4 linked regions of the Saccharomyces cerevisiae S288C genome follow. The gene in region 1 interacts genetically with each later gene. Each region holds a gene or a part of one and is shown in the gene's direction. Other genes may lie near its edges.

Region 1 (6,869 bases):
ATCATGTGGTTTAACGATAACAACCTTCTTACCGGCGTAACGACCACGGACAACGACAGCTGTGTAAAAAAAGGAAGGAAAAGAAATAGTTAGTAAATGTGAACCCTTCTTAAAGTTTGGCGAATTCTCAATTTTGTTCTTCAATACTAGGGAGAGAAAAATTATCATAGGCCCACGAATTTTTAATAGGGCATGGAAAGAACTACAGTAAATAAAAGGCCCTGGTCGCCTGCGTACATGTGCCTATGGTCTTAGCAAATATATCGCGGAACTTTCACCATCTTATTTGGTGGCTATTGATGCTTTTTTCTTTTAAATTACAACTTTTTGATAACCCTTCCACTGCCTCGTATAGCTCAATGAATATGAATAATCGTTAGTTTCGCTCCTAAATCATTCATCTTTTTGTCCAATATTTCTATTAATAAGCTATCATTCAAATTTAAAGGTTTTTTCCCAGATCTAACATCTCCACGCTTTTTCCTCCCTACTCCCATATGAAGATACAATACTCGAATTCAAACTCAAATTATACAACATCAACTGCTAATAACTTGGATTTCTAATACCACAGTTGCACGGTTTTTTGTTGATGTCCAAAAACTGAAAATGATACGTACCAACTTTACCAGCTTTCAAGAACTTAGCCATTTTTTTCTTTGGTTATGCTTTTGTTTTAACACGTTGAGACTATCTAAGAAATTCTAAAAATCTAATATATCTTTAATTTTAGCTCAAAACTACGGCAGTATGTTTTACATGAACGAACACTTTACTAGTGAAAAGAATTTCAGGAAACCTGCCTTCGGGCGAATCTCTGCAGCAAGAGCGTAGGCGGAGCTCTGCTGGAAAGACTTTGTCTCAGACAGTTCTGTCGTGATGGGAGAACTGAGCGGATCACTCCCATTAGTTTGAGAGGAACTTCTCTCCGCAGCCTTGATTCTGCCTCGGGACTCCACCTGGAATATTGTTATCGGCTCTTTCAAGAAATACAGGACTCATAAGGTGAAAAAAAAAAAAACAGTGTAGGTGCAACAGCAAAAAATGTAAAGATGTAGGTGTACGGATGCATTAACGTCTTTCGAGGCCCTTTCCATTCTTCCGTGAAAAATATTCACTGAACGTATAATATGAGACGGTTCCGTCCGAGTCCCCTTAGCTGGAATCGTGTAAGCCAATTTATCAATACATGCAGCCTTGGTGCTTTTGTGCGTCTATCCCCTACATGCATAAGATTACGTATGAATGAAAAAAGCACGACATAGAAGTGAAACCATATCTGTAACCTGGCACACGTACTACAAAAGTTATATTGTTCCTTTTTTTTTTTTTTTTTTTTCTATTGTTAAATCAAGACTTAAAAAAAATCAGCCAACAAGTAATTCTGTTTGATAGTTCAAGTCACTCAGCAAAAGATTTTCGTGCTCTCCAATACACCATCTAAGTATCAATAGCATTTTAACCAAGCAACAGAAGGAATAGTGTTTATAAATGGGTGAAGATTTTATGCACCCACCGTTTCAAACGTACCCTTCAAAGAACAGCGAAGGGAAAAAACATATTGTCATTGTAGGTGGCGGTATCATCGGTTGCTGTACTGCTTACTACTTGACCCAGCATCCAAGTTTCAGCCCTTCGACGCATCATATTACCATCATTGAATCGAGGCGCATTGCTGGAGGGGCTTCTGGTAAAGCAGGTGGCTTGCTTGCATCTTGGGCTTTCCCTCACCAAATCGTACCTTTAAGTTTCCAGCTACATCAGGAGTTGAGTGATGAATATGATGGAGAAAACAACTGGGACTACAGAAGATTGACGACTGTGTCCTTAGAAGCAGATGTTCGCGAAGAAGTCATTGAAAACTACGAAAGACTGAGCAAGAAGGCATATAATCTGAATGTCCCTCCTCCAAAGAAGAGACCGGGCTACATATCCAACAAGTTTAACATCGGGGACTCTAATTCATCTTTGAGTTCTTCGGGCTCTTCTTTGAAAAACGACTCCGCTAGTAACGAGGAAGAAGGATCAGACATTCATGTTTCTAGCTCAGTACCCAGTTTACACTCTCTAACAAATGAGCGCATGAGAAGCCACACAAATAGCGCATCTGATCTTGACTCTGTAAGTCCCGTGGAGCAACTGAGAGAGACTAATATCCATAATCCTTTGCCTGCTGATTTAGATTGGATAAGAAGAGAATTGGTTAATGATTGGTCATCACTAGGTGGTACTGATACCACAGCGCAGCTTCATCCCTATAAATTCACCCATTTCATCTTATCGAAGGCAATGGAAACAGGTGCTGTCGATCTTCTCCTAGGTAAGGTAGTTGGGCTAAAGTGTGACGAGATGGATTGTGTTCATTCTCTTAAGTACCTTCCATCTGTCGTCAAGAATCGCAGAAATAGCAGAGGGCATGCAGAAAATCCAGACATTAAGCTGGGTACAATCTTCAACGATGAGAACGCGAAGCCCATTGAAATCAATGACATCCAGCAGATTGTTTTGAGTATGGGACCCTGGACTTCCAAGATTCTAAAAGATTGTCCAATTTCTGGATTGAGAGCCCACTCTGTCACCATTAAGCCTAGTGAAAAGACAGTTTCACCTTACGCTATTCTTGCTGAACTAAAAGTTAACGACCGTGAATTTTTCTCCCCTGAAATGTATGCTAGAAAAGATGAAGTTTATGTGTGCGGCGAAGGCGACACTTTAGTCAATATACCTGAAAGTTCGGACGATGTGGAGGTAGTTTCGGAGAAGTGTGATGAATTGTACCATTACGTATCCAAATTATCGCCAACTCTATCAAAGGGCCATCTCTTGCGGAAACAAGCCTGTTTTTTGCCAGTTTTAAACGTTCCTACAAGTTCTGGTCCCTTAATTGGTGAGACAAATGTCAAGGATCTTTATATTGCAAGTGGACATTCTTGTTGGGGTATTAACAATGCGCCAGCAACAGGTAAATTAATGGCTGAGATTCTCCTTGATGGCGAAGCAACCTCTGCGGAAATCTCAAGTTTGGATCCAAAGTTATATTTCGACGCCACCATCCTTTCTTAATCAAGCCGAGGAGTAAAAAGGTCAAGAAAAGTATATGCACAAATTTGTACATATAAGAGCTTATTTATTTATATATTTAAAATTTCTGAGGCCATTTAATGTGTATATATTTAACGAATACCTAAATCTATATATTTCTTTTTTTTTTTTCTCTCTCTCTCTCTCTTTCTCTTTCTCTCTTGGCGTCTATCCTGTTTGCCCTTGCGCATGCTACCGATTGCACGTGTAGTATTCTACTTGAGGTTGAGCTGATTACTAATTGCTATTATCATTGTTGGCGCGACCTTAAACCTGGACCAATAACACAGGCCGAACCACTAGCTTCGCAAAAAAAAAAGTAGGGATGTGCCGAAAAATTTCCGCGACCGTAGCAGACACCCCTGATGAAGAAGCTATAACTTGTATATAAGAGCGTTGCATCCCCAAAATATACAAGCTAGCTACAGCGATTGCTTTTCACTTGCTGCTACAGGAACGAAACCCCAATTGATAACTATACCTCCTAAAAACGTACCAGGATGTTCGCGAAAACAGCAGCTGCTAATTTAACCAAGAAGGGTGGTTTGTCATTGCTCTCCACCACAGCAAGGAGAACCAAAGTCACCTTGCCAGACTTGAAGTGGGACTTCGGTGCATTGGAACCTTATATCTCCGGTCAAATCAACGAATTGCATTACACCAAGCACCATCAAACTTATGTGAACGGATTCAACACTGCTGTTGACCAATTCCAAGAACTCTCAGATCTTCTGGCCAAGGAGCCCTCTCCCGCAAACGCAAGAAAAATGATTGCTATCCAACAAAACATCAAGTTCCATGGCGGTGGTTTCACAAACCACTGTCTATTCTGGGAAAACCTGGCTCCAGAGTCGCAGGGCGGTGGTGAACCACCCACCGGCGCTTTGGCAAAGGCAATCGACGAGCAGTTTGGCAGTCTGGACGAGCTGATTAAGTTGACCAACACAAAGCTAGCAGGCGTGCAGGGCTCCGGATGGGCCTTCATTGTGAAAAACCTCTCTAATGGAGGCAAGCTGGACGTTGTTCAAACCTACAACCAGGATACCGTCACAGGCCCACTAGTTCCTCTAGTTGCCATTGACGCCTGGGAACACGCCTACTACTTGCAGTACCAAAACAAGAAAGCCGACTACTTCAAAGCCATTTGGAATGTGGTCAACTGGAAAGAAGCATCCAGAAGATTCGATGCTGGCAAGATCTGAAGAAAGAAAGAAAGAAAATACCTTTTTTTTTCCACTGTGTCGTTTTTATTCTAACTACTCTACTAAATCACACAACCACACTCCCCTATTTAATAATATATTTTACTATTAAAATACATATACATGCATCGTAAAAAAAGAAAAAAAGAAAAGAAAAGAACCGAAAAAGACAATACAACCAACCTTCCTCCACTTTTTCTTTTTCCTTGTTCTCTCTCGCTTCCTACGTTACTCGCGCCTGTGCACTACATTCCCACCAGATTAACTCACCACCAGGCAGAGAACCAATTGTTCTTGTTATTGTTCCAACCGATAATTGTAAAGCCATTAAGGTCGTAAACGACTGCTTACTCAGGGAGATCTCCGAAAACGGCAATTGCTGTGCACCGTGCGACGTTATGATCGCCGCCTGTCCCGTACAGACGAACAATTGCAACAATGGGCGGTTGTTTAGAGAGGTTTTGTGCCGCGCCCGGGAATTACCGGGGGCACAGCAAAATACGAAATTTCCGGCAAAATGTCTCTGTACGAAAATGAGGCCAGCCTTTATTCCCGACTAAGCCGTACGATTATAGTAATGTCACACGAAGTGGATACTATACGAGCAGCGCACATACAATGTGCGTGCAAGATTTGCCGGGTTGGACAATCTTAAAGGCCGATAATCCACGAAAAACGAGACAAACGAAGCGCTGGCCCTAAACGAAACGAAACGAAACTAAGATTTCAAGATAATCGCTTTTCAGATGACAATAGTCTCTTGCAGAACACAATAAGTGTGGTAGGTATCTTGCAGGAGACATCGATTTTATGCCTGAATTTTTTTTTTTTCTTGGTATGAGCACATCCTATTGTGCATCTCCACGAGTTAACGACGTTTACGTACTCGCATGTATTCGAAAAGCCTCTAAAAATTGCCCTCCATGTGTATTCATTATATAAGATAGCGTATTTTCCCTTAGTTTTCTTATTCCCTCTTAATTCTCTCTTTCAATGTCTTTTTTTTTTTCCCTTTTCCTTTTTCCCTTTTCGTTATTGGTAAATTATTTATAAAAAGATTGATAAGCAGTATCGTTCAGCGTGTGTATTTTCGATAGGAAGTAATAATTTTTCATTATATTAATTAATAGTTTCCAGAAAAAATTTTTTTTCCTTCACAATTGCAGCAGGCTTGAATAGAAACAGAACAAACGAGTAATACAAGGATGTCTGCTACCAAGTCAATCGTTGGAGAGGCATTGGAATACGTAAACATTGGTTTAAGTCATTTCTTGGCTTTACCATTGGCCCAAAGAATCTCTTTGATCATAATAATTCCTTTCATTTACAATATTGTATGGCAATTACTATATTCTTTGAGAAAGGACCGTCCACCTCTAGTGTTTTACTGGATTCCATGGGTCGGTAGTGCTGTTGTGTACGGTATGAAGCCATACGAGTTTTTCGAAGAATGTCAAAAGAAATACGGTGATATTTTTTCATTCGTTTTGTTAGGAAGAGTCATGACTGTGTATTTAGGACCAAAGGGTCACGAATTTGTCTTCAACGCTAAGTTGGCAGATGTTTCAGCAGAAGCTGCTTACGCTCATTTGACTACTCCAGTTTTCGGTAAAGGTGTTATTTACGATTGTCCAAATTCTAGATTGATGGAGCAAAAGAAGTTTGTTAAGGGTGCTCTAACCAAAGAAGCCTTCAAGAGCTACGTTCCATTGATTGCTGAAGAAGTGTACAAGTACTTCAGAGACTCCAAAAACTTCCGTTTGAATGAAAGAACTACTGGTACTATTGACGTGATGGTTACTCAACCTGAAATGACTATTTTCACCGCTTCAAGATCATTATTGGGTAAGGAAATGAGAGCAAAATTGGATACCGATTTTGCTTACTTGTACAGTGATTTGGATAAGGGTTTCACTCCAATCAACTTCGTCTTCCCTAACTTACCATTGGAACACTATAGAAAGAGAGATCACGCTCAAAAGGCTATCTCCGGTACTTACATGTCTTTGATTAAGGAAAGAAGAAAGAACAACGACATTCAAGACAGAGATTTGATCGATTCCTTGATGAAGAACTCTACCTACAAGGATGGTGTGAAGATGACTGATCAAGAAATCGCTAACTTGTTAATTGGTGTCTTAATGGGTGGTCAACATACTTCTGCTGCCACTTCTGCTTGGATTTTGTTGCACTTGGCTGAAAGACCAGATGTCCAACAAGAATTGTACGAAGAACAAATGCGTGTTTTGGATGGTGGTAAGAAGGAATTGACCTACGATTTATTACAAGAAATGCCATTGTTGAACCAAACTATTAAGGAAACTCTAAGAATGCACCATCCATTGCACTCTTTGTTCCGTAAGGTTATGAAAGATATGCACGTTCCAAACACTTCTTATGTCATCCCAGCAGGTTATCACGTTTTGGTTTCTCCAGGTTACACTCATTTAAGAGACGAATACTTCCCTAATGCTCACCAATTCAACATTCACCGTTGGAACAAAGATTCTGCCTCCTCTTATTCCGTCGGTGAAGAAGTCGATTACGGTTTCGGTGCCATTTCTAAGGGTGTCAGCTCTCCATACT
Region 2 (6,711 bases), on another chromosome or scaffold:
TCGTGGTGTCTTTTTTGACCTTTGTACTCTTATCGCTTAACAAGTTCAGTTTTTCTAAAACACTTTCAGCGGTCATAGTTACTAAAGAGCCATCGAATAGCAAATCATCTTGCGAATCCAATTCATCTAACTGGAAAGTCGAATCCATGGTCCGTTTCATATTTCTCATCAAGCACAGTGCTATTCTTGATTGAATCTCTTCTGATATCAAATCATAGTCAAAATCTAAACCAATCAAGTTTGGAGAGTCTCTAGCAAATGCGTAAAGTGTGGATGAAAAACTATTTTTAGCAAATTGGCCCTTAACGTCCAATGTGCTCGAACTATCCAAGTCGCCGTCTGTGTTAGTTTGTTGAACGGGAGAATCTGTGCCGTTCATTAGATAGAAGTTTTCAACGTTTTGATTAGTCATTGACACATGCGAGAGCGATTTGCACTTAATCAAAATATTACAAACGACAGCTAGTTCCTTTAATGTCAAATTATTGCTATCCAAATGTATCCTCTTCAGGTTCGGAAATCTTGGTAAATACTTGTACATGTAGGGTAAAATGTCAGGAAAGCATTGCGACAAATTACTCAAATCCAAAAAAATCAAGTTAGGCAACTTAGAAAGATATTTCAAGAGCAAAGCTAAATCATAAGAAGTCGAAATATTAGTGCTGTTCAAAATGAAATATCTTAAGTTATCATATGATAGAGCAGATAGTTTACCAACCATTGGCTTAATCATAGTGGACAGATCATTAAACGCTAGATCCACACCCTGGACGTTATATTGAGACATCCAATTGAAGATAAATTTCAGACAATCCTGAGAGATATTGGAAGTAGTGGCACCTGCTAAACCAAGCCTGATGCCCGATTCTGGAAAGTTTTTTTGGGTAGCAAAGGATGTCAGTAAACGTGCAAAGCATGAGTAAGGAATTTTGCTAAATTGAATACCATTGAATAACAATTCTTCTATAGGTTTGTGAGATCTCTGAGACAAGACGTCAGTAAACAAGTTCCAATCCATGTTATGGCGATATAGTGATTCAGCAAGGTCAGATTTGATTTTCGTTTGGGAAATGTCGAGCTTGTTCAGTGATTTGTTTAGCAAAAGGAACTTACATAGTAATTTCCATCCATCTTGGTCGATTCGTACATTTCTTAAACTCAATTTGTCCAAAACTGTGGAGTTTACCAAAGCAGAAATAATTATTCTGAACATATCCTGGTTTAAAGCTACATTGTCGAAAACAATCGTGTGAATGGGAGCAATGGTGATGAAATCACAAAAGGAAAGAATATCGATCAAGGTAGGCTTAGGGTTCAAAAACTTCAATATTTGCAAGGGAGCTGTCTTGTCCTTTACTTGTCTTAGGGTAGACGGAATGGGTAAAATTTCCCTTAAATGGCAGCATCTTGTGTAAATAACATCCAGCGTAACTTCGTTATTTTCAATAGAATGACCGTCTTGGTACTTATCTTGATCAGGTTCCTTGAAATAGTGCTCATGCATATGAATGGGCTTATCAATGCCGGCTTTTGAGAGGTTTTCTGCAAGTTTATTATTCTCAAGCTCCCGATCAGCTTCAACATTTGGAGGTGACACCTCTTCTCTTTGCTTCGTAATGGTGCCTTCTGATGACTTTTCAGTAAGCTTACCGCCTGCATCCGAAGCAGTCTTAAAATTGGCTACTTCAAAGGCTATTCTATTAGCAGCAAAATGAGCTTCTTGCTGATGCTTAGCAGCCTCCCTTAAAGCCAACTTTTGATTTTCCAGGGCGAGTATATATTCTTTAGACTTCTTAGTGTACAACGGTCCCTTAATGTTGGAATTGGTTGACTTGGCCGATTGGTTGCTACTGGAAATACCCACGGAAATAGAAGGAACCTCGCTTATCATGTCATCAGGGATAAGGATGTTTCCCTTTTTTGGGGTTCTTGAAGGAAGTTGTTGGGGAGGATCGGATTCGAATTTATCGACGGCAAACGAGACCCTTTTCAATGAAACTGTAGATAGGTCTTTTACTGCAAGTGCAGGGGAGGGGAGTATAGGTGTCTGTGGCTTGCTAGCTGTTGGTGCCACTCCTCTCATTGGTGATGATATCTCCTTCACCCGTGGATCAGGAGTCGCAACTGCTTTAATGCCACCAGACTCATTCTCAGTCGTGCTAGTATTAACAACAGGTAATGGTTTCTTGGCAGTGGAAGCTGAAGAAGAGGTAGACCGTTTGCTAAACAAAGATCCAAAAATCGACCTTTTAGTCTTTTCTCCACTAGTCGAGTTGCTTCTCTTGAGAGTAGCATTAGATGGTGAAGAAATTGGCGGGTGCTTTCCCTTGCCAACAGAAGAAGATGCGGTGGCGTTTATGGCAGAACTGGCCAGTCTTGGTTTGGACGAGACCACAGCATTGGATATAGAAGTGGAACGTTTTTTCCTTACAAATTGAGTACTTGAGCCGTTGTCATCATTATCTATAAGGTCTATGGCGTCTACGGTAGCCGGATTATCAATGTCAGCGGAATCGCTCCGGTTACCGCTATTAATAGGAGTAAGTAGCGGTATGTTATCAGTGTCTGATGCAGAGGTATTACCATCGTTCCTCTTCAAATCTGGTTTCTCAGTATTACAAAGTGCTGCATTGGATACAGATGACGACCTCGCACGAGGCTTATCATTGCTAGACCTGTTACCACTCGTGCTATTGTCTCCGTTTTTCGAAGAGGACGTAGATGAAGAGGAGGCTGGCGACGTAGAAGGCCTCGATGGCTTCGTATTTGTCTTCCGTCTACTCTTACCTTTATACAACCAATCTACGGGCACATCGAACTCGGTGTTAGTTATCATAACCTAGATGCTATCTCCACTCCCTATGCTTGCTTTGGTGGACTATTGTTTCCGTTATTCGCAATTTCTATAGGACTACTATAGATTATATAAACTGAATTTTAGCTTTATGCTGTGGTGTTATTTCCCAAAACACGCTCTTCTTTCTTACGCTTTCCGTTAGCTTATTTGCTCACGGTATCAAGATTACTTTTTTTTTTTTTTCTTCTTTTCTTTTTCTTGCACTACCCTCTTCTTCTTGTTCTTCCTTGCGTTTTTACCCCTCTTCCCTTTATTTTGCAGCAAAAAGAAAGATGGAAAGGCAAAAGTGAAGGCATGATGATGACAAACTTGAAAAGAAAGAGAACAGCGAAAAGAGATGAATAATCCATGGCAATGACTGCACGCTCATGGGTATCAATTGGCTAGGTCTAATATTGTTATTGTTTGGAGTATGGCGTAGAGAAGTGGTTCCTTAACCTTAATTAATGCCCGTGCCATGATGATTGCATCACTGAGACGTAATGTGGAAACACCACTTCTCGGTCCGCGGACATCAACCGAAGGAAAAATGACAAGCTATTTCCGTGTATATCCGCGCCAATCCCTTCGGGGCCGAAGTTCGGAGGCTTTATCTCCGCTTAGCCAAGGCCGTCAAAGGCGATAAGGTGCGTTGCACCCCAATTAGCCATGGAGAAGGAAAAAAAAAGCATGTATGATCATGATGATGCAAAAATTGAGAGGAAAAATGACTCAGGCTATTTATATAAGTAAATGAAAGGGTTTCGTTGTAGCCTTTTCTGCTCTCTTCCTTCGCTCTTCCGCATATATATTTGTGTTCAGAGATTATTCTTAAATCCATAAGAACATCCCTTCATATAACAATTGAATAAGGAAAACACAACACATAACACATATTTAACCTGATGCTTCCTGTTATAACGAGATTTGCAAGGCCTGCTCTGATGGCCATCAGACCTGTGAATGCCATGGGGGTTTTGAGAGCGTCCAGCATAACGAAAAGGCTTTATCATCCCAAGGTCATAGAGCATTATACACATCCAAGAAACGTCGGCTCATTAGATAAAAAATTGCCCAACGTCGGCACTGGTCTAGTGGGTGCGCCAGCGTGCGGTGATGTGATGAGGTTGCAGATCAAAGTCAACGACTCTACTGGCGTTATTGAAGATGTCAAATTCAAAACTTTTGGATGTGGCTCCGCCATTGCCTCCTCTTCATATATGACTGAATTGGTACAGGGGATGACCTTGGACGATGCGGCAAAAATTAAGAACACTGAAATTGCTAAGGAGTTGAGCTTGCCCCCAGTCAAGTTGCATTGCTCTATGTTAGCGGAAGATGCGATCAAGGCAGCTATTAAGGACTACAAATCTAAGAGAAACACTCCAACCATGTTATCGTAATGAATAAGAAGATAACCGGGACAAGAACAAGATCAAACCCTCACTAATCAACAAGTTGGACTTAATTTGTGCAAGCATGGATGTTTCTCATTAATATTGTCATATTTCTTTCCCTTAATCTAGCATTTCCTTTCTCTCCCTCTTCTCATGCATATCTTCCTAGATATATTTCTCCAGGGTGAAAGCGGGACGGACGTGCTTGTTTTACCTCACCTGGTACTACTAGTATTTTCATTACTCTTTTTTCATCCTCCCACTTCCCCCTTATATATTTGTTTTCCCATGTGTGGTATATGGCATCATTATTATATAAATATTCTTTAGTTGTAAAAGGCTGTTTTAATTAACACTATTTATCGCTAGACAAAACTAGACTTTCATTATTTCCTTCATTTCAACGCTTGTTTAAACATGTGCTAGGTAAGCGAGTTTTTTACTTTTACTTCCAATAAATATATATATATATATACGTATACATGTATGGGCGGGCTACAACAAAATGAAATAAAAAGCGTCAGGATCATTGTTTTTTACCATACTTGACTTCTCTGAAAAAATCCATGACGTTCGTGAAAACTACCAACAATAACCCACCACCGGGGGCAAGTCTCATGACCTTTGGCGCAAATCCCTTATACAATGCTTTAAACCCTTCCTCACGGTAAACTAACAGCACTGAAGGCAGGGACCAGTTGTACTTCCTCAGCGGCCCGGAACTTCTTTGGATCCTAGATTTTACCACGTCAAATGGTGTATTCAACAAGCACCCGACAGTGCCACCAATAGCACCTGCGATCAAATCATTTCTGGTCTTTTCCGTGCTTGTTTTAGCCGCCGGCAAAAGCTTCCGAATTTGGAATATTATACCGAAATAACCGGCATTCCAAAGAACGTGTCTCCAGATAGTGGCTTCCAACCCATTGAAAAGTGACAAAACACCACCTTTCACAACACTATTCTTTACAACTTCAATGGGTGTCTTGAACTGTGAATTCACATCCTGTAATCTAATCTTCACTAGTTCAAAAGGCGCGACGACAAAGGCTTCCACGGCGCCAGCGGACGCACCACTGTATATGGCGATTTTTTGAGTCATCTCCCCATTGGGCGTGGGGAAAATCTTTTTATAAAACGTTTGGAATGTATCGTTTCCGGAGAACTTAATTGCTCTTTTCGGAGCCTCCATTAATATAGGCGATGTGATACCCTTGTAAAGATGCGAAAATCCTTCCTTCTTCACAATTTTTGTAAGACAATCCATCACGCCCGTGTAGTGATCTACTGCTGCTTTCGCTGCAACAACAGCGGGATGACCTTTGGTTGTCACTTGTAATTGCATTCTTGTCTTCACCACGTCCAATGGATACATCACCAATAGCTCCGAGACGCCGGCAATGGCACCGGCTGTGAACTGGTATATGAACGGCAAAGGTCTATTATCTATAGATGTCATCTTACAGTTCTTTTTCTTTCACCCTCGTTACAGTTCTATCTTGAGAATAAATGAGATAAAGGTTCCCAAAAGTCACTGATATATATCAACGGCGGTCACCCTCACAGAAATACCCGAGAATCTGCCCTTCGCCAAATCAGATTCAGCCAGTTCGCAGTTTTTTTCCCTATCTCTGGTCGCCGCATTATGAAAAGATCCTGGGGTAATAATGGGAATGATTTGAAAAAAAACAAATGCTGGTAGAAAAAGGTCTTCGTATTGCTCGTAGTAATACGGCTATTTCAAGTAACTGCTCGGGCCAGCGGCTTGAGGAAAAAGTAAACCCGTTACTTTGCTTTTTAATGACGCTGGAAATACCAATTACCTACTATGTATTACTTATGCTTATGACAAAGGGATGAAATTCCCGACGATGCAAATTGGGATGTTGTACCTATCCCTTCTGATAGTGAAACTAAAACAGCATGGCCGTTTGCGGATTCCATCTTTGGTTCGAAGACTACAACTTGTTAAAACAGCCTTCTGACCCTTATCAAACGCTATGGACCCGTATTTTTCCCAGAAATTCACAGCGCTTTCTTCTGTCATCAACTCGTAGATCGCAAGCTTTCCATCGCGTAAATCATCGACTGTGCAGTCAACCAGTGAAGCAAACTCTTTATTGGCTCTGTAAATCTCACCGGTACGCCTACACAAGCACGCTGGCATGCTCATAGAGGTGAAAACACGATCATAAGATAATAACATCCTCTCGAAGCTCTCCTCCACTAAAACTAAGTCAACATCCTTCAATGAACGCGCAATGGTTCTAAACGCCGGTCTAATGGTGGATAGTGGTTTCAGAATCCTTTGCTTGGAAGACTGATTCATATATTTGTCCATGTAGTCTTGTAGTCTTGCATACCCCTTGGCATAATTATACGGCTTCAATAATCCTGCTTCAAGCTTCGCATTTATGACCAACTTCAGCCGGTGTTCTGGTGTCATCTCTGTTGACGGATCCGCCGCTGTTAAAAAGA
Region 3 (7,487 bases), on another chromosome or scaffold:
TTAAACTCAACTACAAAAGCGAAAATGTTTACCTTCTTTTGGAAGGTTTAGTAGTCGTATCTCTTTCAATGATTCCGCCTGTATCCTCCAGACGCTCTTCCTCAAGGGTCACCTGATCTCTTCTTTCCCACCAACGGTCTTCACATAACTCAAATGACTTCGTCTTTAACTGTTTACCCTTAAGGTTTCTGTTGTTAGAAATAGACCAGGTTAAGAAATTTGCACCTTCCCTTAAGTAGAATGCTCTTAAAGTTTCGAACGGTTTTGGGTGTGGTAGCCAAGACCTTTCGTCTGGAATCTCCATCTGCGCTTGTTTGTCATCGTCGCTCTCGCTTTCCTCATCTTCATCACCTTCAAGGGGTCCTGCATCTTGTTCCTCTTCGCCGTCGTCCTCATCCTCCTCATCGTCCTCGTATTCAAACTCATCTTCGTCCGAATCTCTATCACCTAGTCTCTTTGCTTCTTCGATGGCAGATAGGTCTTCCCAGTAAACCTTGACACCATCCAACTTGTTCAAATCTATACTATAAAATGAGTTTATAGGATAATCTTTTTCGCCCAGTTCCCAGACACCACTGTAAATGAACAACGAGTCGCCCACTACACAAGTTGCTGCGTTAAATCTTGGGTGAGGTAATTGATTTGAGATGGTAATATCTTCTTGGTTGTCCAAATCACTGTCATCTTCGTTATCTTCGTCGTCATCGATAGAGTTAGGACCCGTTGTGCTGTTGTCATCATTGTCATCGTCGTCGTCATTTAGATTAGACTTGGCCAGAATGGAATTTAGTAAATCCTGCAGTTCCTTTTCTTGATCTTTATTAGATTTTCTTTTACTTGTGGCGGGTGAATTTTTACTATTCGTTTGACGCTGAGGTTTAATTCTAAGTTTAGACCATTTGTTCAACTCTAGGTGGAACATATATAGGTCGTTATAGAAAACGGACTCTAAGGATTCCTCTGTCTCTTGTAAATCGTAGACACCACCAAAAGCAACGGACTTGTTTTGCTTCCATAGATTGAACGAATACCCGACTCTTGGTGAGGGCTGGTTCTTGAAATTCTTTAATTTTTCCCACTGCCACTTCTTTGGATCAGGCGTTAAGTTCAGTTTCCATGCATCATTCAAGATTTTTCCCTTCATTAAATTTTTATTATTTTTGGCAATGATTTTACAGTAACCACCCATTAATATGGCAGAATTATCTGTAGGAATGAAACAATGACCCGATCTAGCGTCAGGTTTGCTGTTTGTCTCCAATTTGGTCCATTTGTAGGTTGAGATATCAAAACACCACAAATCATTTAGGTAAGAAGTTTGACCATTCCCCAAATCTCTAAATCCACCAAATAATATGAAATAGTTTTTCCAAGCAATAATTCTATGACCTGATCTGGCGCTGGGTGAAGAGTCTCTACCGCCAAACTCCAACTTAGTGAATTTCCTTTCAACGCAGTCAAACAGCCATGTATCAGAATAGTGGTAGAATTTAGATTGTTTTGGGGACGAAAATTCACCACCGTGTAACAGTGCTATTCCGGAAGGATGCACAGCGACAGCGGCACTGGATCTGGGCAAAGGTGCATTTTGCGAAACGTATTTTTTCCAAGAGTTGTTCTTTATGGAGTATGAATACAAATCATTATAGAAATGTGTTAGTTTGGTTTCTGGATCTGTAAATTCACCACCGAAAATGAACAATTCATGTTTATTGTGTTGCGGATTTGCAAACATCAACGGATGAGTACGACAAGAGGGTTTTTCCACAGAAGTGATGTCTACATGCTCTAATTCAATTTGCTTTTTGCTAAAGCTAGAGAGAATTTCATCGAGATCTTGATCACTTTCATCATCTTCTTCGCCGTTTAAAGACTTATTCTTGTTCTTCTGAAACTTTTTCTCCTGCTTTTTTTGGTTTTTCTGATTCTTCAGTTCAGCACGTGCCTTTTTGGCCTCTTTATCCTTCTTATTCTTCTTTGCCATTAATCACTTCTACGAGTCTAGTAGATCTCTTCTCCTTCCTATAAGTGGTTAATGTATTCTTCGAGAAGCTCATCATTTTTTTTTTTCATTTTTTTTTTTTTTTTCAGTTTTCTACAATTTCATCAAATCAATGGTTAAACCGGGCAGAAAAACTACCAAGCGTTACTTTTACTGATGTTAGTACTACTACCGCAGTTATTGCGACTACTACATTAACTATAACTATACAAGAAAAAAAGTAAAGAGGGCTCGTAAAGCAAAGCTTGGTATCTCCTACATAGTCAATACATAGTAGTGAGTCGCCTATAGCCATTCTGTAATGCCATTTGTTAAGACGTGTCCTTAAACCCTTCCGAATCGCCGCGGGCGACATCATAATGTCAGTACCTAATAATGGTTATTATTCGTACCCTGTGGTTAGAGAGCTATGGAAGCTAGCAGTAAATGTCTCTAGTTCTTGCTATCACTACCATATTGGAGAGGCTTCAGGCCCCTCCCCTGAGCCGATCCTCGGAATGACTACCCCGATTCCCGGAATGGGCGTTCGATGATTGGCTCTTTCCTGTAAAGCCTTTTTGCGTTTCTTATAGGCTATATATAATCTTCATCACTGTTGTAGACGTTAAACAAGCATCCAACAGGAGGCCGGACCGAACACACGGGGGAGTGACTCTAGCTCTTTCTTCTGGGATATTCATATCGTTTCTCCATTACATACAGTCATTTTTTTGCATTTTTAAATTCGTGACTTTTAGTACTGCAGCTGTTTTTTTTCTCACGTCAAGAAATTCCATAAAGTCTAACTATTAAACGGATAAGAGATACAATCATGTTGAGATTTACCAATTGTAGTTGCAAGACTTTCGTAAAATCGTCATATAAGCTTAATATAAGAAGAATGAACTCCTCGTTCAGAACTGAAACCGATGCATTTGGTGAGATACACGTGCCTGCTGATAAGTACTGGGGTGCCCAAACTCAAAGATCCTTTCAAAACTTCAAGATTGGTGGCGCTCGTGAAAGAATGCCATTGCCTTTGGTGCATGCATTTGGTGTTTTGAAGAAATCTGCCGCGATTGTGAATGAGTCTCTGGGGGGATTGGATCCCAAGATCTCCAAGGCTATTCAACAGGCCGCTGACGAAGTGGCTTCTGGTAAGCTAGACGACCACTTTCCATTGGTTGTTTTCCAAACGGGTTCCGGTACCCAGTCTAACATGAATGCTAATGAAGTTATTTCCAATCGTGCCATTGAGATCCTAGGAGGCAAGATTGGATCTAAACAAGTCCATCCAAACAATCATTGCAACCAATCTCAATCATCCAATGATACTTTCCCCACTGTCATGCATATCGCTGCCAGTTTGCAAATTCAAAACGAGTTGATACCTGAGTTGACCAATTTAAAGAACGCCCTTGAAGCCAAATCCAAGGAATTTGACCATATTGTGAAGATCGGTAGAACACACTTGCAAGATGCCACGCCTTTGACACTAGGTCAAGAGTTTTCCGGTTACGTGCAACAAGTTGAGAACGGTATCCAAAGAGTGGCACATTCTTTGAAAACATTGAGTTTCCTGGCACAAGGTGGTACTGCCGTTGGTACAGGGTTGAACACCAAGCCCGGATTCGATGTCAAGATAGCCGAGCAAATTTCCAAAGAAACTGGACTAAAGTTTCAAACCGCCCCTAATAAGTTCGAGGCTTTGGCTGCTCACGACGCCATTGTCGAATGTAGCGGTGCTCTAAACACCCTTGCTTGTTCTCTTTTCAAAATAGCGCAAGATATAAGATACTTAGGGTCCGGGCCACGTTGCGGCTACCATGAACTAATGCTGCCAGAGAATGAACCAGGTTCCTCAATCATGCCTGGTAAAGTTAACCCAACCCAAAACGAGGCATTGACTCAAGTGTGTGTGCAAGTCATGGGTAACAATGCAGCTATCACGTTTGCCGGCTCTCAAGGTCAATTCGAGTTAAATGTCTTCAAGCCAGTCATGATCGCCAATCTATTGAATTCGATCAGGTTAATTACTGATGCCGCATATTCATTTAGAGTGCACTGTGTTGAAGGTATCAAAGCCAATGAGCCTCGTATTCATGAGTTGTTGACTAAATCTTTAATGTTAGTCACCGCTTTGAACCCTAAGATCGGTTATGATGCCGCTTCCAAGGTCGCCAAGAATGCTCATAAGAAGGGCATTACCTTGAAGGAAAGTGCATTGGAATTGGGTGTATTGACTGAAAAGGAATTTGATGAATGGGTTGTTCCTGAACACATGCTAGGTCCTAAATAAACGAGCTAAATACCTAATAATATACAAGTTTTTTATGTCTTATTATATGAAGGAAAATAAGGAAGTGGAGAGAATTTGTGATTCAGCAATGGTCCCTCCGCTAAGGTCCCGCCTCTGGCCAGTTATGTCAGAAGAGGAGCATAGGCATACATTCCATTTTTGATGGCTTAATGGGGCCCATAAATTTACATCACTACATTATTATTCCTATACAAGTTATAATAAAATAGTTCATAAATGAATATTTTGCGTCATTTTTTAATTTCTTGTCGTCGGGTAAGGGACCTAGTATTACCCGCATCACGGAAAGGGGAATTTTCAGAAATGATAACGAATAAGAGAGTACACCAGAAGAGCAAATCTCTTTAAGAAGTTTAGCAGCAAATATCGGTTTAAAAACAAACAAAAGCAAAGGAAAAGAACTACTAAATCTTCGAGGACTTTCCCAATTTTTAAAACGCTGAAATTGTATTAGAAGAGAATAACTGTCTAAAAAGAGCATGTTTGCATCCGCTGGACAACAACACCCTCAAATTGTTCCTAAGGAAGAGGAATCCATATTAAACTACCTCCTTGAAGTGAGATCCTCCTTGGCTAAACTCAAGCAAAATAGGACCCAGTATTTGAACTCTAAGGATGTCCAAACTACTTACCAACACGTCTTGACCAAAGTCAGAGAGTTGGACGATATTAGGAAGAATAGTCATGAGACGCCCGCTAAGAGCGCCGCCACCCTGATTCATAGTACTGAATTGCATAATAGAGTTGACTCCGTACTGGATGATGTCTTTCAATTGCTCTCGTTGTGTTTTTTAACTGTTGGGCTAAAAAATTCTGCACCTGCGACTTATGCATCGTTATCTACTGTGGAGAGTCTTTTGGAACATTTAAATGAATCAAACGTCTTCACCCATCACGATTTGAGTCCTATTAAGGAAAGGCTGGAAGAAATCAGCAAGATTGTCGAACAAAAAAACTCTAGTCCTGCGTACGATGAGGATGGAAATGATGACCGATTAAGGGAAATCGACAACGAAAGGAAAAAGAATAAAATTGAGGAAGACCTATTACTACGTGCTAAATTAAAGCATTGCAAGGACGAATATGATATATTGGAAGGCAAATTGGAGGAAATTGATCCGTCTTTGTCTACTGTAATGGAAAAGTTATTCCGAATTAGAAGAGGTTTATTGTCATTAGTTGCATCTGCTAAAAAAACAATGTCTAAATCTGATATTAATACCAACTCTTTATTGCAGGAACAAAATGATTTGCAAACGAACAATGAAAGCTTAACGGATGACAAACATTTAGTATCTCAAGAGTATGTCCATGAGAAATTATCAGTTTTGAAGAACGAATTAAGTGAATTAGAATCTAATCGTGACGATTCTGGTAAATTCAAGTCCTTGGAGTCTCATCAGGTGGCAGAAAAAGGCCAAAGTGTCCTTAATGGTTTATTGGATGATTGCCATGATTTAGTTAACGATTTATCACACCAAAAAAATGGCGGGTTGACTTTAGATCCATATTTACAGCCAATATATGAACAGCTGATTGATATAAAGACTACCTTAGAAAATTTAATGATCACAAGAAGATGGACTTTGAGAGAAACCGATTTATTTTCTTACCAAAAAAAATTGAACGAAATTGATAACAAAAGAATCAATGGTAAGTTTCCAACAAAATCTCAGGACTCAAAGGGGCAATCAATACTTTTATACCTGTTGCGTAGATGTTATGCCATAATTTATAAACTGTTGGAAAGTTCAGAGCCCGTATCTGAAGCGTTGCAGCCAATTCACAATCAACTATCTACAGTTCGTCGTTGCCTATTAGAATTGAAAAGAATGGGAGGTGTGAATAATGAAAGAGAGTTATACCCTTATCAAATGAAATTGGCTTCATTGGACAACCTGAGAACTGAAGGTATATTCTATGACTCTGATGGCAATATACCTGAAGGCCAAGGTATATTGAATGCTTTATTAGCAGAATGTTTTGATATCTTGCATGAATTAAAAGTGGAAGCCGAGGAAAAAGCACAGAACTCTACTTCAAGTGATGGTTCTGACGACGATGACAACGGAGAATCAGGCATAGACTCGAACTCAAACGACAGCGAGCCTGAATCTGAATATCAACAGGAATAGAGGAGAGTGTTTCTTTATCTTCCATTTCTCCCTATTTTCTTGGTAGAGGAAAACATTATAAACAATAAAATGAAATACAGAAAGAAAAAAAGTTATTCTCTTATGTCTATGTATATAACAAACCCTGAATGAGCATCTATATAAAAACAAAAATATATAAACAACTTTATGTCATTATCATAATTGTCAATGGGAGGGGGGAGAAAAAGAGGAATAAGGACATACGTACCCTGTGTCTTTGTCCATGCACCGTAGAAATTGCTTTTTTTATATATTTTTCAGACATTACGTCAGCCTTATTGTATAATCATCACCACTTTGCGTGATATATCTTACCCATGGGTAACTCTTATACTGCAATTTGGGTTCGTTAATTTTAAGATAACGTACTTGAATACCTGAAGTAGTAAAGTAGGGTATTTGAAATTTGATTTGGACAGGTCCCTTCAAGATTTCCGCGTTACTTTTTGGCATTGTTCTATTGCCATCCTCGTTATTTGATATTGAAGGCAGTCCCAATTCGGCAGACATTGAGTACTCTTTACCACCGGGAAAACTTCTTATTTTCCATAAGATTGCACTTTTTTCAGGGACATACTTTAGAGACCCGTGTGAATATTTAAAAGTCGGTGTATCCGCGTCGTCCGGGACCGGTATCAATATCTCTACATTAGTTGCAGTAGATTTTCTTTTAATTTGGGCCTTGGCCTTACAGTGAATTTCAATTCTAGAATTCGAATGAACTTGAACGTTTACATCACACCAAATTAACGGTTTTATCGTAGTAGATAGTCTGTAGTTCATTAAATCGAACTTTCCATCAGGAGGTATAAACGTTATAATTTTTTCATTCTCGAATTTGCTTAATCGGACACATTGATGAAATTTCAAATCTTCCAATTCAATATTAACTTTCTTCTTGTTTGTGGCCGATGATGATGTTATTGATGGTTTTTTATCAGTTTCTGTGTTATTATCGGATGTTGTCGCGCTCGCTGATGGGATATTTGTATCATCATCCAAATATTTGGAGAAAATGCCTTTATCATTA
Region 4 (8,966 bases), on another chromosome or scaffold:
TGTCGTCCATGTCACCATTTGACGATAGTTTTCAATTTGAAAAACCCAGTAGTGCGCATGGAAATATTGAAGTAGCGAAAACCGGCGGTTCTGTTTTGAAGCGACAATCTAAGCCAATGAAAGATATTAGCACACCCGATCTCTCAAAAGTTACTTTTGATGGAATCGATGATTATAGTAACGATAATGATATTAATGATGATGATGAACTCAATGGTAAAAAAACCGAGATACATGAACACGAAAATGAGGTGGATGATGACCTCCATTCGTTCCAGGCAACACCTATGCCTAATACTGGAGGCTTTGAGGATGTTGAGTTGGATAACAATGAAGGTAGCAACAATGATTCCCAGGCAGATCATAAGTTGAAAAGAGTACGTTTTGGTACAAGAAGAAATAAGTCAGGTAGGATAGATATAAATAGGTCAAAAACATTGAAATGGGCCAAGAAGAACTTCCACAATGCTATTGATGAATTCAGTACAAAAGAAGACAGTCTCGAAAATTCAGCCTTGCAAAATAGGTCTGATGAGTTGAGAACAGTTTACTATAATTTACCCTTGCCGGAGGACATGCTTGACGAGGACGGCTTACCGTTGGCAGTTTACCCGCGTAATAAAATCAGGACTACGAAGTATACTCCATTAACATTTTTTCCCAAGAACATTCTTTTCCAATTTCATAATTTTGCCAATATTTACTTTTTAATACTGTTGATTCTAGGTGCTTTTCAAATATTTGGTGTGACAAATCCAGGTTTTGCATCCGTTCCCCTAATTGTCATCGTAATTATCACTGCTATTAAGGATGGTATCGAAGATTCCAGAAGGACTGTATTGGATTTAGAAGTTAATAATACAAGAACACATATCTTAAGCGGGGTGAAGAATGAAAATGTTGCTGTTGATAACGTTTCCTTATGGAGGCGTTTCAAGAAAGCGAATACAAGGGCATTGATTAAAATTTTTGAGTATTTTTCAGAAAACCTCACTGCTGCTGGTAGAGAAAAGAAGTTACAGAAAAAAAGGGAAGAATTACGAAGGAAGAGGAACTCGAGAAGCTTTGGGCCACGTGGGTCTCTGGATTCAATTGGTAGTTACAGAATGTCTGCCGACTTTGGTCGTCCCTCTTTGGATTATGAGAACCTGAATCAAACAATGTCACAGGCTAACAGGTATAACGATGGTGAAAATTTAGTTGATCGAACGCTACAGCCAAACCCTGAATGTAGGTTTGCCAAGGATTACTGGAAAAATGTTAAAGTTGGTGATATTGTTCGTGTTCACAATAACGATGAAATTCCTGCTGATATGATCTTATTATCGACATCAGATGTTGATGGCGCTTGTTATGTGGAAACCAAAAATTTGGATGGTGAAACAAATCTAAAGGTCCGTCAATCATTAAAATGTAGCAAGATTATTAAGAGTTCAAGGGATATTACCAGGACGAAGTTTTGGGTTGAAAGTGAAGGCCCACATGCCAACTTGTATTCTTATCAAGGTAATTTCAAATGGCAAGATACACAAAATGGAAACATCAGAAATGAGCCTGTAAATATCAATAACTTATTATTGAGAGGTTGTACCTTGAGAAACACTAAGTGGGCCATGGGTATGGTTATTTTTACTGGTGACGATACCAAGATTATGATAAACGCTGGTGTCACTCCAACCAAAAAATCCAGAATTTCAAGAGAGTTGAATTTTTCTGTGATTTTGAATTTTGTACTATTGTTTATCCTATGTTTCACTGCTGGTATTGTTAACGGTGTTTATTATAAACAGAAACCTCGATCGAGAGATTATTTTGAATTTGGTACCATTGGAGGTTCTGCCTCAACTAACGGTTTTGTTTCTTTTTGGGTGGCGGTTATTCTTTATCAGTCATTGGTTCCGATCTCTTTATATATTTCTGTGGAAATTATTAAGACAGCACAGGCTATTTTCATTTACACTGATGTTTTGTTGTATAATGCCAAGCTAGACTATCCATGTACACCAAAGTCGTGGAACATCTCCGATGATTTGGGTCAAATTGAGTATATTTTTTCAGATAAAACAGGCACCTTGACACAAAATGTGATGGAATTCAAAAAATGTACTATTAACGGTGTGTCTTATGGACGTGCCTATACGGAGGCACTAGCAGGCCTGAGGAAGAGACAAGGTGTTGATGTCGAATCGGAAGGTCGTCGCGAAAAGGAAGAGATAGCAAAAGATAGGGAAACAATGATCGACGAATTAAGATCAATGAGTGATAATACACAGTTTTGTCCGGAGGATTTAACTTTTGTATCTAAGGAAATTGTGGAAGACTTGAAAGGATCCAGTGGCGACCATCAACAAAAGTGCTGTGAACACTTTTTGCTGGCGCTCGCATTATGTCATTCTGTCCTTGTGGAGCCAAATAAAGATGATCCTAAAAAACTGGACATCAAGGCTCAATCACCTGATGAGTCTGCCTTAGTTTCCACCGCCAGACAATTAGGGTACAGTTTCGTTGGTAGTTCAAAAAGTGGATTGATAGTAGAGATCCAGGGTGTTCAAAAGGAGTTCCAAGTTCTGAACGTACTTGAATTCAATTCGTCGAGAAAAAGGATGAGTTGCATTATCAAGATCCCTGGCTCTACACCAAAGGATGAACCTAAAGCACTGTTAATATGTAAAGGTGCGGATTCCGTTATCTATTCAAGATTAGATCGCACTCAAAACGACGCTACTTTGTTGGAAAAGACGGCCCTCCATTTGGAAGAATATGCCACAGAAGGTTTAAGAACATTATGTTTGGCTCAAAGAGAGCTCACGTGGTCCGAGTATGAACGTTGGGTTAAGACTTATGATGTGGCCGCTGCATCCGTTACTAATAGGGAGGAAGAGTTGGACAAAGTTACTGACGTTATTGAACGTGAGCTTATTTTGCTTGGTGGTACGGCCATTGAGGATCGTTTACAAGATGGTGTTCCTGATTCGATTGCCCTCTTGGCCGAGGCCGGTATTAAGTTATGGGTCCTAACGGGTGATAAAGTGGAAACTGCCATTAACATTGGTTTTTCCTGCAATGTTTTGAACAATGATATGGAATTATTGGTTGTGAAGGCTTCCGGCGAAGATGTAGAAGAATTTGGTAGTGACCCTATTCAAGTGGTTAACAATTTGGTGACAAAATACTTAAGGGAAAAATTTGGCATGAGTGGATCCGAGGAGGAGTTAAAAGAAGCTAAAAGAGAGCATGGTTTGCCACAGGGAAATTTTGCTGTCATTATCGATGGCGATGCGCTAAAAGTTGCTTTGAATGGTGAAGAAATGAGACGCAAGTTCTTGCTACTGTGTAAGAATTGTAAAGCTGTTTTGTGTTGCAGAGTTTCTCCAGCACAAAAGGCTGCAGTGGTCAAGTTGGTAAAAAAGACCTTAGACGTTATGACCTTGGCCATTGGTGATGGTTCGAATGATGTAGCCATGATTCAATCGGCGGACGTTGGTGTTGGTATCGCGGGTGAAGAAGGCAGACAAGCTGTCATGTGTTCTGATTATGCCATCGGGCAGTTCAGATATGTGACAAGACTGGTATTGGTGCATGGTAAATGGTGTTATAAGAGACTGGCAGAGATGATCCCACAGTTTTTCTACAAGAACGTTATTTTTACGCTATCCCTGTTCTGGTATGGTATTTACAATAATTTCGATGGGTCGTATTTGTTTGAGTATACGTACTTGACATTCTACAATCTTGCATTCACATCCGTACCTGTTATTTTACTAGCAGTACTCGACCAAGATGTTTCCGACACCGTTTCGATGCTGGTGCCACAGTTGTACCGTGTGGGTATCCTAAGAAAAGAATGGAACCAAACCAAATTTCTTTGGTACATGTTGGATGGTGTATACCAATCTGTGATATGCTTCTTTTTCCCCTATTTGGCGTACCATAAAAACATGGTTGTAACTGAAAATGGCCTTGGACTAGACCACCGTTACTTTGTCGGTGTCTTCGTTACAGCAATTGCAGTCACTTCATGTAACTTTTACGTCTTCATGGAACAGTATAGATGGGACTGGTTCTGTGGCCTATTCATATGTCTATCACTGGCCGTGTTTTACGGCTGGACGGGTATATGGACAAGCTCGTCGTCAAGTAACGAATTTTACAAGGGTGCGGCGCGTGTATTCGCACAACCTGCCTATTGGGCAGTACTTTTCGTTGGCGTGCTGTTCTGCCTACTGCCAAGATTCACCATTGACTGTATCAGAAAGATATTCTATCCGAAAGATATAGAGATCGTTAGAGAAATGTGGTTACGCGGTGATTTTGACCTCTACCCACAAGGCTACGACCCTACGGACCCTAGCAGGCCCAGAATAAACGAAATACGTCCCCTTACAGATTTCAAAGAGCCCATTTCACTGGACACTCATTTTGATGGTGTCAGCCACTCACAAGAGACCATAGTCACAGAGGAAATACCAATGAGTATACTCAATGGTGAGCAAGGCTCGCGCAAGGGGTACCGTGTCTCTACCACTCTGGAACGCCGTGACCAGCTCAGCCCCGTTACAACAACGAACAACTTGCCTAGAAGATCAATGGCCAGTGCCCGCGGAAATAAGCTCAGAACTTCGCTGGATCGCACAAGAGAAGAGATGCTTGCCAACCACCAACTGGACACAAGATACTCCGTGGAAAGAGCACGTGCCTCGCTGGATCTGCCGGGTATCAATCATGCAGAGACGCTGCTCAGCCAGCGCAGCAGGGACCGTTAATGATTACAATTTTTTTCTTCCTTTGTACTATGTATACCAATGTGATATGATATAGATTTCATATAGGATGTGATGATGTGTATCACCCGGCACGGCTCTACCCCGCCCTGTGGGGTGTGGAGAAAACGCCGCGCAGAGCCTTGAGTAGGAAGGGGCTGGGTTCTCCCCTTCCTGCCGGGGTCCGCCCGGCGCCAAGAGTAAGAGAGCGAAGCCGGAGACGTAATATGAAAAAAATTTTGAGGGGAAAGGGCGTCCGCAAGGGCAAGGGCAAGGGGAAGGGGTGGCGTTTTGTGCTTCAAGGAATTATATTTCGTTGTTTTCCGCACTATGGCGGCATTGTGGCAAGTAACTACTTTACGGAGAAAGACTAGAAAATGGTTACAACTGCCACTATTACCGCTTCGCATTCTCTTGTCTTACAGGTCCCTTGAATTGGCATTTACGTTTACATCCGATCCGGTTTTTCACCAAAGAGAAAGGAAAGGAAAGGTAAAAATAGCAAACCGAAAAAGAAAACAGTATTTTCTCTCTGTTTAGGATTATTACCACTACTTACTGAAGAGAAGTTTTTAACGTTTATCGTTTGTGTTGAGGTAGAAGTACAAACGCGTGTGTGAGTTGTGTATTTGAAATTATTATCCTTCTACGCATATCGGGAAAAAGTTAACGGAAAAAACAAGAAGAAAACCTCCCCCCTCCTCCTCCCGCCATACAGAAGGCAAAAGAAGTTGGTCTGTTAGGAAGAAAATAGCCAAGTAATAATACGTTTGGCCAGTTGTATTTTTTTTTTGTTTCGCTAAGTCTCTTGCTTACAGAAACTCTTTGCCCACCACATATTTCATCGTTTTTCCTTTCTGTTCATCATTAACCTCCATTTCCCAATTTTTTCCAATTTTCAATTTTTTTCACTATTTGTTTCTTTGTTGGGCGTTTAAAAAGTATTTGCTTCTACAAAGTGAACAACATCGTTGTAATTTTTTTTTTTTAATTTGAAGAATAGCTACAAAAACAGACTACAATGGAAATCAAGCCAGTTGAGGTTATTGATGGCGTTCCGGTTTTTAAGCCGTCTATGATGGAGTTTGCAAATTTCCAATATTTCATTGATGAAATTACTAAATTCGGAATAGAAAATGGTATTGTCAAAGTCATTCCTCCCAAAGAATGGCTGGAGCTTTTAGAAGGCTCACCTCCTGCGGAAAGTTTAAAGACTATACAACTAGACTCCCCGATTCAACAACAAGCCAAGCGATGGGACAAACATGAAAACGGTGTATTTAGCATCGAAAACGAGTATGACAATAAGTCGTACAATTTAACACAGTGGAAGAACTTGGCCGAAAGTCTAGACTCTCGAATAAGTCAAGGTGATTTTAATGATAAAACTTTAAAGGAAAATTGCCGCGTAGATAGTCAGCAGGATTGTTATGATTTGGCACAGTTACAAATTTTAGAAAGTGATTTTTGGAAAACCATCGCTTTTTCGAAACCTTTTTATGCAGTGGACGAAAACTCTTCAATTTTCCCCTATGATTTAACTTTATGGAATTTGAATAATTTGCCAGATTCTATAAACTCAAGTAACAGACGGTTACTTACTGGTCAGTCTAAATGCATTTTTCCATGGCATTTGGACGAACAGAATAAATGCTCTATAAACTACTTGCATTTCGGTGCTCCCAAACAATGGTATTCCATACCGTCCGCAAACACAGACCAATTTTTGAAAATTTTATCAAAGGAACCATCAAGTAATAAGGAAAATTGTCCAGCTTTTATTAGACATCAAAACATCATAACTTCTCCCGATTTCTTGCGAAAAAATAATATAAAATTTAATAGAGTGGTGCAGTTCCAACATGAATTCATCATTACTTTCCCTTATTGCATGTACTCCGGATTCAATTATGGTTACAATTTTGGCGAATCTATTGAGTTCATATTAGATCAGCAAGCTGTCGTTAGAAAGCAACCTTTAAAATGCGGCTGTGGAAACAAGAAGGAAGAGCGAAAATCTGGTCCGTTTTCAAATTTATCTTATGATTCTAATGAGTCGGAGCAACGAGGCTCCATTACTGATAATGATAACGATTTATTTCAAAAAGTTCGAAGTTTTGATGAATTACTAAACCATTCCTCTCAAGAGTTACAAAATTTAGAAGACAATAAGAACCCCTTGTTCTCCAATATTAATATGAACAGACCGCAAAGTAGTTCTCTTCGGTCTACTACCCCTAATGGTGTAAACCAGTTCCTGAACATGAATCAAACTACCATAAGCAGAATTTCTTCCCCGTTGTTATCAAGGATGATGGACTTATCAAATATTGTGGAACCCACTTTGGATGATCCGGGTTCCAAGTTCAAAAGGAAAGTTTTAACTCCGCAATTACCGCAGATGAATATTCCGTCTAATTCTAGTAATTTTGGCACCCCTTCTCTAACTAATACAAACTCCTTACTATCTAATATAACGGCTACATCAACCAACCCATCGACAACTACAAATGGCAGCCAAAACCACAATAATGTTAACGCCAATGGCATTAACACCTCTGCAGCCGCATCTATCAATAATAACATTAGCAGTACCAATAATAGCGCTAATAATAGTAGTAGTAATAATAACGTTTCCACTGTGCCTTCTTCAATGATGCATTCGTCCACTTTAAATGGGACTTCAGGTCTAGGCGGCGATAACGATGACAATATGTTAGCTTTAAGTTTAGCGACACTGGCTAACAGCGCTACTGCGTCACCAAGATTGACGTTACCGCCGCTGTCGTCACCAATGAATCCGAACGGCCACACCTCATATAATGGCAATATGATGAACAACAACAGTGGTAATGGTAGCAACGGTAGCAACAGCTATTCTAACGGTGTGACTACGGCTGCTGCCACAACTACATCAGCGCCTCACAATCTATCCATAGTGTCCCCTAATCCAACATACAGTCCGAATCCCCTATCTCTTTATTTGACCAACTCCAAAAATCCATTAAATTCAGGTCTTGCACCCTTATCACCTTCAACATCTAACATCCCATTTCTCAAGAGGAATAATGTGGTTACATTAAATATTTCAAGAGAAGCTTCAAAGAGCCCTATATCTTCTTTTGTAAATGACTATAGATCTCCGTTGGGTGTAAGCAATCCACTCATGTATTCTTCCACAATCAACGATTATTCAAACGGTACTGGAATTCGCCAAAATAGTAATAATATTAATCCCTTAGATGCAGGTCCATCTTTTTCTCCTCTCCACAAAAAACCCAAAATACTCAACGGTAATGATAATAGCAATCTGGACAGTAATAATTTTGATTACAGTTTCACGGGTAACAAGCAAGAATCTAATCCATCAATCTTGAACAATAATACTAATAATAATGATAACTATCGTACATCTTCAATGAACAATAACGGCAACAATTATCAAGCGCATTCTTCTAAGTTCGGTGAAAATGAGGTCATTATGTCAGATCATGGTAAGATTTACATTTGTCGGGAATGTAATAGACAGTTTTCCTCTGGTCACCATCTAACAAGACATAAAAAGTCAGTTCATTCCGGTGAGAAACCCCATTCTTGCCCAAGATGCGGTAAAAGATTCAAGAGAAGAGACCATGTTCTGCAACATTTAAATAAAAAAATTCCATGCACTCAAGAAATGGAAAATACTAAATTAGCTGAATCATAGGTCAAGAAAATGATATACAAAATGGGTTCAAAAAAAATTTTTATCGAATATTTTCCTGTAATAATATTGTTTCTTTTAGAAAAATTTTGGTTTTCTATAATATATTTATTCTCCATGTTTTAATTTTCTCAGCTATTAATGTTCAACTTATTCCTTATAAATTTGTCATTCATTTTTCATATATATCGTTAATATATAATCTTTGCCTGTTCTGAATCCTTTTTCAACGACCAAAACTTTAAAAAAAATAAGTAAAAATCTTACATACATCGTAAATGAAAATACTTAGGATTGTAAATCATCAATTATACTAAATAGACTTTTCAAAACGTTCCTTTTTATGTTCCAATCATAGTTCAAGACCCCTTCACCAGAACCTAATTTTGTATTCTTCAGTCCATCTCCGTACGCAATTCGAACGAAATCACTTTGTAAGCCACCTGGCACAGAGACAACTTCACCATTCAAATTATTTGCAGCTAAATCACGTTCTTTGACTA

The links.
Region 2: mutations in SOD2 (region 1) and ISU1 together harm fitness more than expected from each alone (negative genetic interaction), as found in Saccharomyces cerevisiae (2 studies listed by BioGRID).
Region 3: mutations in SOD2 (region 1) and FUM1 together harm fitness more than expected from each alone (negative genetic interaction), as found in Saccharomyces cerevisiae (2 studies listed by BioGRID).
Region 4: of SOD2 (region 1) and GIS1, changing one suppresses a phenotype caused by changing the other (phenotypic suppression), as found in Saccharomyces cerevisiae (2 studies listed by BioGRID, with this or other methods).

The regions. Positions count from the first base shown.
Region 1 is NC_001140.6:120,303-127,171, reverse strand, and holds SOD2 (superoxide dismutase SOD2), read left to right. Parts: upstream 1-3,581; coding exon 3,582-4,283; downstream 4,284-6,869. Other genes in the region: 60S ribosomal protein eL27 RPL27A, read right to left, coding at 1-59, 621-651; TDA3 (Tda3p), read left to right, coding at 1,492-3,063; YHR007C-A (uncharacterized protein), read left to right, coding at 4,407-4,622; ERG11 (sterol 14-demethylase), read left to right, coding at 5,489-6,869. UniProt on the Saccharomyces cerevisiae protein: Destroys superoxide anion radicals which are normally produced within the cells and which are toxic to biological systems.
Region 2 is NC_001148.4:293,812-300,522, forward strand, and holds ISU1 (iron-binding protein ISU1), read left to right. Parts: upstream 1-3,741; coding exon 3,742-4,239; downstream 4,240-6,711. Other genes in the region: protein phosphatase regulator GIP3, read right to left, coding at 1-2,836; ODC1 (mitochondrial 2-oxodicarboxylate carrier), read right to left, coding at 4,760-5,692; gluconeogenesis transcription factor RDS2, read right to left, coding at 6,077-6,711. UniProt on the Saccharomyces cerevisiae protein: Scaffold protein for the de novo synthesis of iron-sulfur (Fe-S) clusters within mitochondria, which is required for maturation of both mitochondrial and cytoplasmic [2Fe-2S] and [4Fe-4S] proteins.
Region 3 is NC_001148.4:44,523-52,009, forward strand, and holds FUM1 (fumarase FUM1), read left to right. Parts: upstream 1-2,813; coding exon 2,814-4,280; downstream 4,281-7,487. Other genes in the region: KEL3 (Kel3p), read right to left, coding at 29-1,984; YPL261C (uncharacterized protein), read right to left, coding at 4,474-4,782; CUB1 (Cub1p), read left to right, coding at 4,781-6,436; APM1 (Apm1p), read right to left, coding at 6,722-7,487. UniProt on the Saccharomyces cerevisiae protein: Catalyzes the reversible stereospecific interconversion of fumarate to L-malate.
Region 4 is NC_001136.10:631,358-640,323, forward strand, and holds GIS1 (histone demethylase GIS1), read left to right. Parts: upstream 1-5,781; coding exon 5,782-8,466; downstream 8,467-8,966. Other genes in the region: aminophospholipid-translocating P4-type ATPase DNF2, read left to right, coding at 1-4,763; mismatch repair ATPase MSH6, read right to left, coding at 8,752-8,966. UniProt on the Saccharomyces cerevisiae protein: Transcription factor involved in the regulation of gene expression upon nutrient starvation. Recognizes and binds to the post-diauxic-shift element 5'-T[AT]AGGGAT-3' in the promoter region.